Caenorhabditis elegans: one gene and its partner. The protein of the gene in region 2 purifies or fractionates together with the protein of the main gene of each other region. This does not show direct contact. Each region holds a gene or a part of one and is shown on either strand. Other genes may lie near its edges.

Region 1 (3,580 bases), on a different chromosome or scaffold from region 2:
TTTCTGTTTTCAATAATAATTTAAAAAAGTAAAAACACAAGTCAAAAATTCAAAATTTTTATTCGAAATTCCAAGTCGAAACTCACCTGGCTGATTCATTTTTGTGAGCCGGGAAGCGGGTCACCGGCTCACCTGAACATGGCGGATTAGTTTTTTCTCATATTCGAGGGGATTTTCCTAATAGATTTCGGGGTTTTCGAACCCAAAACTGTAAAATTTTTCCTTCTTTTTACTCTCGTCAGGTCAAAATTTAACTAAATTATGTTCCTAACAATACCCAGGGGGCAAATCCAAAACTTTTCCCATAAAATCCTTTTTCCGGGGGTCCTAGTGTGTGTGTGTGTGTGTGTGTGTCGATTCGAAAATCGTGTAAAAACCGATTCGATCCTCGATCGATATGGTGTGTCCCCGCTTTTGATCGTCCAGCGATCCTTTAGTTTCCCTCCTTATAGAGTCCTCCTCCTTTCCTCCAATAGTTTGAATGAAGCGGAGTGGAGGCTGAAACAAAACATTTTATTCGTGGTTCCTCCAACAAAAGAAATTATTGAATAATAATAGGTGGGGCTGATGAATACTTGGATGTGGTTGTTTGAATTAAGGATAGGTGATAAAAAATAGAAGAAATTGTGGATATATATATCCAAAAAGATCGATAAAAAGAAAAAGGTGTGTGTAAACAGGAGAACATGAGGCATGGAATTGTATTAGAAACAGCACAAAAAAAAAGAAATTAGCAAGATATAGTTGTATCAGAACTCTCTGTCAGACGACTCAAATTGCAAAACGATACCGTTTCAAGAATCAGACGCTGTCTCTTTATTGTGGAGATGGTGAGCGAGATGGACTGCGACTGGCCGAGCGAGAACGAGAGCGGGAACGGCTGCGAGAGCGGGAACGAGAACGACGAGGTGAGTACTTTGGCGAAGCACGACGTTCGGCTCTTGGAGAGCGCGAACGGCTACGATCACGGCCACCACCACCGCTTCCGCCTCCAGAAGAGTTGTCCTCACGAACGCGAATGTAGGCAGTTTCACCCTGAAAAAGAAAAATTTAATTCAATTTTTGATTTATTTTATAGTTTCAAAAATAGTAAAAACTCACCTCATGTGATCTGAACTTGGTGTCATCAAGCTTGCGAACAGCGTACTTGACATCCTCGTAACGAGTAAACTCGACGACTCCAGTTCCATCTCGAGCCACATCCGCATAGCAGACGTCTCCAGCATCACGCATATGATCCTTAAGATCCTGCCACGACCCGGTTGGTGGAAGACCTTCAACGATCACTCGGTATCCGGTTCTTCTCTGAGGTCCACCTCCACGACCACCACCACGTCCTCCTCGGAAGTCTCCACCGCGGTGATCACCTCCGTCTTGGAGTGGGCGACCGCCTGGGCCACGTGGTCCGACTCCACGAGTGAACTCGACGCGAATGCGACGGCCATCGAATTCGTAGCCATCGCGAGCACGAACCGCATCCTCGGCATCTCTGGAATAAAATTGATTAATTAAAGTATTTGAAATCAATAAACGAACCTGTGATCTTCGAACTCGACGAAAGCGAACGCCGGTCCACGTCCTGACTTGATATCGACGTACTTGATGCGGCCATACTTGTGGAAAATGTCCTCGACTTCCTTCTCTCGGACGTCTCCTGGCAGGTTGCCAACGTAGACTTTTTGGTCCTCTGAGCCGCCGCGTGGCATGTTTAGTACACTGAAAATGAAGAAATAATTATGATTATTTGCAAAAAATCGGCGACTGAAGATTATTGATAATAAAAAAAATACTGGGCCTAAAATCCTTCAAATTACTGCATTTACTTGACTGAAAAGAAACCCAGAATCGAGTAAAATTTAGAAAAATGAATATTCTCAAGCATTTCTTCGAAAAAATAATAAAAATTGTCTGAAAAAACAAGAAATGAGTGTGCCACGGCCTTCGTTTTCGAAAAAATAACGACCGCGACGCGACCGCAACGCGTCATATGAGCATTCTCCCGCCAAGTTTGAACGAGTTCGGTGGAGCGCGCCTGCGTTATTTTTAGTCACGTATTTTTTTATTTTTTGTGGTTTTCGGTTTTTTATTAGAAAATAAGAAAAAATAATAAATTTCAGAAATTCTAAATGCCAAATGAAATTGAGGAAGGCAGTGGTTTGGACGTTGGTGAGTTTTTAATCGAAAATTTAATTATTTAAATCGAAAAACTTGATTTTTTCAGCCTCCCGACTTGCTGGAAAGAAGAAATGGGTTACTTGTTCCATTCTGCTTCTCGTAAACCTGCTAAACTACATGGATCGATACACAATCGTGGGAGTTATGTCGCGGCTTGCAACATTTTTCGATATCGACGATAAGGGGCAAGGCCTTTTGCAAGTAAAAATTGAATAAAATTGTGGAATATTAATTAAAAACCGAATAATTTCAGACAGTTTTCATTGTGTTCTACATGTTTTTCGCGCCATTATTCGGATATTTGGGTGATCGATACAATCGAAAAATGCTAATGATCACTGGAATTTGCATATGGATTTTAGCAGTCTTTGCATCGTCTTTTTGTGGGGAAGGGGTAAGGGAAAAGGGAAAAAAACGATAATAGAAAGGAAATAATGTTGGAATAAATTACTAAGACAGTCTGAGCCCACTTCCAGTGGTAGATCAAAAGGCGGAGCCAAAAACGCGGGAAAATCGCGGTCTGGAGGTCAATGAGCCCGATGGGAAGGCTCTAGAGGTCAATCCAATAATGGAATAATGACACCGAGAAGAGAGAAGATAAAAAATGACGTTTATAACGCTTTTTTTGGCAATTTTTGCAAAAATCATGCGAAAAATGCTATTTTGTGGCAAATTTTCACTGGAAATACACAAATTCTGAATATTTTGCCGCGAAAATCGAATAAAAAGAGAAAAAAAAGAATATTTTTGTAAAAAAATTCCTATAAAAAGCGGAAAAATTACCAAAATTCTAAGATATTTTTTGGAATATCAAAAAAAAAAGTGCTTCAAAATTTTGAAGAAAAAAAATTTAAATCTGAGTTTTTTGGGGCAATTAATGCATTTTTCACCAAAAAAAGAACACAAATTTGGATTTTTGTGAAAAATATTCTTTAAAAAAGCGGAAAATGTCCAAAATTCTGAGAAAAAACTAAAAAAAAAAAAAAAAATTTTTTTGCAATTTTTTTGAAAAATCCCTCAAGTGAATAATGCGTTTTTTCTCCAAAAAATTGATTTTTGTGAAAAATATTCTTAAAAAAGCGGAAAATGTCCAAAAATCAGAAAAAATGGAGTTTTTTTTTCAATTTTTTTGAAAAATCCAAAAAATACTGATTTCCGGCCATTTAAGATAGGGCTTCCAGGTAGGCGTTGAAACGCCTGCCTGCCTGACCTCAAGGTGACCTTCGCCTGCCTCAATCTGCGCCTTATGCTCTTTGATTTCACGCAGGCCCTGAGCCATAATTTTAGCTTTAAAAAACCTGAAAAAAATGGAAAAAAAAACATGCAAAAGGCGATAATTGAGAAACTTTTTCAATGAAAAATGGGCAAAAAATGGTGATTTTTGGGACAATTTTTCGTGAATAAT
Region 2 (5,737 bases):
AAAAACTGAATTGGACGCCTACATCTTCTTCGCACACCGGGCAGACACTATCAACAACAATTGGAGCAGCCTCATAGTCATCTGCTGACAAGTTTCTGTAGATCTGAAAAATATTTAGGAAATTGTGCCGTAAATTCTAGCAAAAACACTTACATCTTGAGAATCCGCAGCCATTTTACTTTAAAAAATGAATTTGTTGATTAAAATCGAAAATTATCTGCTTTAAAGTATTAATTTTAGAGAGAAATCTGGAAAAAACTGGAAAAATCTGGAAAAGAAAAACAAAAAAAATTCAAGTCTGCAAAGTTGCGTGACGGTGTTTGCGGACAAACGCCTGCGCCTCTTCATTTCGCGTTGTGCCTCGCGGTTTTTAATTATAAAATTTTTTAATAATTAGAATTCAGTACACATTCTTGTAAAGCCTTCCTATCTTGTGTCACTGAAGCTTTTTCGCAAAAAAAGCGCTTCCAAAGTAGCAGAAGAAACTGAGAAAAATGAATAAAACATTAAATGTCTGCGCTAAAATCTGTATTTTATTTTTATTTCAAAAAACGAATAAAAATCTTGTGATGAAGTTTTATTGACGGAAAATCGAATGAATATTTCATTTTTATCAAATTCCAACAGTATCTTGTTGCTCGTAGTCGTAGTTTCGGGATTCCAGAGACAGAAGTGCTGGATTGCCGGGCTTTTGAGCATTTGTAACCGATTTTTCTTGTGGCGGCGCTTCTTTTTCAGTTTCTGTGTGTTTTGAGATCATTTCATGGCGAAGACAGCATGGAAGATGCACTTTCACAGCTTTAAACTTGATTTTTTGAAGTTTTTCAATCATTTTCAGCCCATTTTCAAGTCGTTCTTTCGAAATTCCGAGTTGCTCGGTGGTTTTTGCATTTTCCAGACATTCGATCAACTGATTTTCCTTTGCAAAATCCGTCTGTTTGATGAGCTAAAAATTAATTAAATAAAATATAAAACGCAATACTAAATTTCACCTGAAAACTGCCAGGTTTGCCACCATGAAAATGTTCCAGGTGGTGCTTTCCTTCATCTTCGGTGTGAAAATTCAAGTTCCGGCATCCAGAGCATCGAAACGGGCGGTATATTATATGAGTCTGGAGCATGTGGAACTCGTATGCCGCCCATGTTGACCAGGCCACGGAGCAGGTTTCGCAGACAGGCCTTGGAGCATTTTCGGGAATCGATTCCCCGTAGGAGTCTGGATTGAATTCGGGAACTGATGAAGTTGGGAGTTTTCCTGAAGGTTAAAAAAAATTAATTTCACAAATAATATTTATAAATAATCACGTTTTAATGCAGAAGCTGGCTGAACAACTCGGATGGTGCACTGGCGTTGAGGGGAGCTCTGAAAAAAGAAATCTATAAAAAATGGCAGTATTTCTCAGCTTATTTGCAACTCACGAGAGTGACTAGATAATCGTCATGGTCTTGGGCTCCTGATGTAGATGGCTCTGTCATTTCAACCTGAATTTTCTGTTTTTAATCTTTTTAAAGCATTATAAAGCTTTAAAAAAATTTAAAAAAAAAAGAGAAAATTCAATGATAAAACAGTGTGCAAAAATGAGAGACGGAGAGTATTTGGCGTCGGTTTCAGTGTTTGGTACGCAAACACCGACCCATTGCGTACTCTTCGAATTAAATTTTTTTTGCGAATTTTTAGATTTTTCAACGTTTTTGCGGTTAAAAACCTCTTTTCCTCATTGAAAACTTTTCAATTTTCAACTAAATGTTTTCCTTTTTCAGATGTCAGGCGAGGATGACTACAATTCAGACGATGAGGCTAACAAGAACCTATCTAAAAAGGAGCTTCAGGAGTTGAAGAGAAAACAGCAGAAAAGCAAAAAGAAGAAGGAATCGAAGAAGAGAGCAAAAGCCACGAAGCAAGCTGAAATAGAAACACGAGAGGAGCCGAAAAAAGAGGAGGAAAATGGTGACGATCTTGACGTGGAAATCGATTATATCGGTGAAACAATTGAAATTGAGCCGGATAACCCGCACGCTCAATACTTTTCCGCAATTTTTGATGCTTTTAAGGTAACATATCACTATTTGTTAATGTTTTTCCAATATATCGGCTTCCAGATCTCCACCGACTCAGAAGACGGCTTCTCCTACGGCCATCACGTTTCCAAAGGCGAGAAAAAGGATGATTTGGGAAAAGTCGGTCAGGCCGAGCGAATTATTCAAGAGGAGATGGAAGAACGTGCCAAAGAAAACACAGAGGAGAAGCTTTCGCGTAGAAAACTCCGAATTTCTCTTCAACCGAGTATTGCAAAGCTTAAAGAGACGACACTTCGAGCCGATGTTGTTGAATGGGCCGATGTGACTTCTCGTGATCCGTATCTCCTTGTCGCAATGAAATCTTATAGAAATTCAGTTCCAGTTCCACGCCATTGGAATGCAAAGCGTAAATATCTCGCCGGAAAGCGAGGATTCGAACGGCCACCATTTGAGTTGCCAGATTTTATTAAAAGAACCGGAATTCAGGATATGAGAGAAGCGCTGCTGGAAAAAGAAGAAAGCCAGAGCCTTAAATCAAAAATGAGAGAGCGGGCCCGCCCGAAGCTTGGAAAAATCGATATTGATTATCAAAAACTTCACGACGCGTTCTTCAAATGGCAAACCAAGCCGGCTATGACAAAAATGGGCGAGCTCTACTATGAAGGAAAAGAGATGGAGGCGATGATGAGAGACAAGAAGCCGGGTGAAATGTCGGATGAGCTTAGAATTGCACTGGGAATGCCCATCGGATCGAATGCGTTCAAGTTTCCACCGCCATGGTTGATTGCGATGCAACGTTACGGACCACCGCCCAGTTTTCCGCATATTAAGATTCCTGGATTGAATGCGCCGATTCCTGGTACGGTAAAATGTTCTGGATGTACTATTTTAGAGCAGAAATCTAAAAAACATTATGAAAAATTTTACATTTCAACATAAAATTACCAAAAACCTAGAAAATTGCCTGCTAAATTTCATTTTCAACGTAAAATTAACAAATCTGTGAATTTTTGCACCTGTACCGACCACAAGAACTGAGATCGTGGCGAGACCCGCTTTAAGCGCCAAATTTTTGCAAAATGATAAATAATTTTCTTTTGATAAAAAATTTTCTTCGCATAATTTAACACACAAATATTCATAAATTCTGCCAAAAAAAATTATTATGAAATTTTCAGATATTTTTTTCGCAAAAACATGTTATCCTGAAAGAAATTAAGACAAACTTGACAATTTTATGTTCAGTAAATACATTTTACGAAAAAAAAATGTCTGAAAATTCAGAAAAAATTTGGTTTTGGTTGAAAAAATTATGAAATCAAATTTAGAAAAATAAAAAATAACTTCTTTCACGATTTTCAAGCAAAAAATACGATACTGGGTCTCGACACGACAAATTAATGTTTAATGCGAGGTGCTATATTTTGATCAATTTTTCCAAATTTATCAATTAAAAACTCAAAAAAAAAACAAGTTTTGGTAAATTTTGGGAGATGCCACATTGAAAAGTTGGTTAAATTTTCAATTTTAACGGATTGTAGGTCATTTTTTGAGCCACCATAACTTTTTTTGAGGTTTTAAAAAAGTGTGCTTATGAAATTCGGTAGTTTAAACGATTTCGAGTCTAATAAAGCAATAAAAAATTTCGACTACAACTTTAAAGCCGTAAAAATGGAAAAAAAATTGAAATTTTCAGAGGGCTGCGCATTCGGCTATCACGCAGGAGGTTGGGGAAAACCACCAGTCGACGAGTACGGACATCCTCTGTACGGAGACGTGTTCGGATTGGCCGCTCCAGCTTTCGAGCCCGAAGACGAATCGCAAATCGAGCGGCGATATTGGGGAGAGATCGGATCCGACGAGAGCAGTGACGAGGAAGAGTCGGAGGAGGAAGAACATGCCGACGATGATGATGCTGATGTTGAAGGAGGATTCCAGACACCTGCACCGGTTGAGGGAATGATCACACCATCTGGAATGACGACTGGAATCACTGGAATCGAGACTCCTGACACGATTGAGCTCCGGAAAGGAAAAGAGAGCTCTGTGCTCGGAACAGACACTCCTGCGGCTGCCTATCATATCATTCCGGAGAAGAAGAACGAACGTATCGGTGGACAAATGATGGCATCCTCCCATACTTATGATCTTTCCAAGAAGCATGCGGTTCGTGACGATGGAGTTCAGATTTCGCTGGATCCTGAGTCTATTGATATGGATGAGCAAGGACTGGCGGCTCGGTACGAGGAGCAGCTCCGAAAGCAAAAGCATCGGGATGATGATGATGAGGATCGAGAGGATTTGACGGATATGGTGGCTGAGCACGCTGCCAAACAGAATGTTAGTGTGTCGAAAAAAAAAATTTCTTGAAAATTCAAAGAAACATTTGAAATTTGTTGGAATTTCCCTAATTTTACTGTAAAAGTACTCTAGTAGTACTGTAGGATTACTGTAAAATTACTTCAGCACGCGGTGCCAATCTGTCCCATTACAGTTTGATCTACAAAAAATGCGGGAATTTTTTGCCCAAAAAAAAAATGACGGCGGCACGTTTTTAACCATGCAAAATCAGTTGAGAACTCTGCGTCTCTACTCCCGCATTTTTCGGAGATCAAACCGAAAAGAGACATTCTGACACCAGTGTTCAGGAGTACTGTAGGTGTTTTGTAGTAGTAGTAAAACTTTAGGGGTACTGTAGGGATACTGTACTGTTTTTGTATTTTGAAAAAATAGTGGAGATACCGGGGTACTGTAGTTTTGAAAAAATATTTCTTTTTGAAACGATAATGGATGGGATTATGGACTTTAGGTATACTGTAGGAGTACTGTAATTTTGAAAAAAAGTGTTTTCTTTTCTTCGTTGTAGTATTGTAGGGATACTATATGAGTACTGTAAAAGTGAATATTGAAAAAATAGAAAAAAATATCGTCTCAAAAAATTAAATTTTCATTTTCAGAGAAAACGCAAAGTTCAAGATGACAAGAAGAACAAGACGTCATCATCCTCGTCGTCAGGATCCAGTGGCAAGAAGCATAAGGACTTCAAATTTTGAAAATCTGATTGTTTTAATTTATTATTTCTTTCTCTCTTTTTTTTTGTAATTTTTAAGCTTAAATTCCAATTTTTCTGTCACCCCAAATAATCGCCCCACAATTTCAATTAAATGTATTCTGTAATTGAGAGTTTTATACATTTTTGGAAAAGTTTTACTATAAGAATTTGAAAGTGCACAAAAATTGGAAAATAATTTTTTAAAAATAAAAAAAATAAATTTCAAAATGTTTCGGTTTCTCAAAAAATAAAAATTAAAAAAAGTCGAAAATCATAAGTAAATTTAGAAAATTAATTTTAAAAAAAACGTGTTTCGTTTTGCTTCCAGAAATAATCGAAAATAAAAAAAACTTTATTTTTTTAGAATTGCAAAAAGCGGGTCCCACCACGAAAATGTCAAGCTACAGTAACCCCATTTTCGTCGCGAGACCCAAAATTTCCAAAGTTAAAGGAACCTAGTCATGATTATACTTATTTCAAAGCTCTCAATGAGCTGAATTCAGATTTTGCAATATTTTTTTGAAATTTCGATGCGTTTCGTTGCGGGACTCAAAATTTGGAGAATTTCAAAAATTGGCAAAACATAGTCAGCTAAATTCAAATTTTGCAGTAATTTTTTTTCTAATTTTTCTAATGTACTTTCACTGAACAATTAATTAAAATTTC

The links. The genes of interacting proteins can lie anywhere in the genome.
Region 1: the proteins of sftb-2 (region 2) and rsp-3 fractionate together in Caenorhabditis elegans (co-fractionation; one large-scale study listed by BioGRID). This does not show direct contact.

What each region holds. Positions count from the first base shown.
Region 1 is NC_003281.10:12,686,201-12,689,780, forward strand, and holds rsp-3 (putative splicing factor, arginine/serine-rich 3), read right to left. Parts: upstream 1,717-3,580; 5' UTR 1,707-1,716; coding exon 1,537-1,706; intron 1,490-1,536; coding exon 1,102-1,489; intron 1,036-1,101; coding exon 817-1,035; 3' UTR 501-816; downstream 1-500. Other genes in the region: spin-4 (Major facilitator superfamily (MFS) profile domain-containing protein), read left to right, coding at 2,127-2,166, 2,222-2,376, 2,429-2,569. UniProt on the Caenorhabditis elegans protein: Plays an essential role in embryogenesis.
Region 2 is NC_003283.11:126,476-132,212, forward strand, and holds sftb-2 (PSP proline-rich domain-containing protein), read left to right. Parts: upstream 1-1,761; coding exon 1,762-2,052; intron 2,053-2,100; coding exon 2,101-2,878; intron 2,879-3,715; coding exon 3,716-4,359; intron 4,360-4,976; coding exon 4,977-5,072; 3' UTR 5,073-5,196; downstream 5,197-5,737. Other genes in the region: W03F9.1 (Zinc finger protein ZPR1 homolog), read right to left, coding at 23-103, 154-174; W03F9.2 (C2H2-type domain-containing protein), read right to left, coding at 614-946, 993-1,255, 1,306-1,363, 1,420-1,476.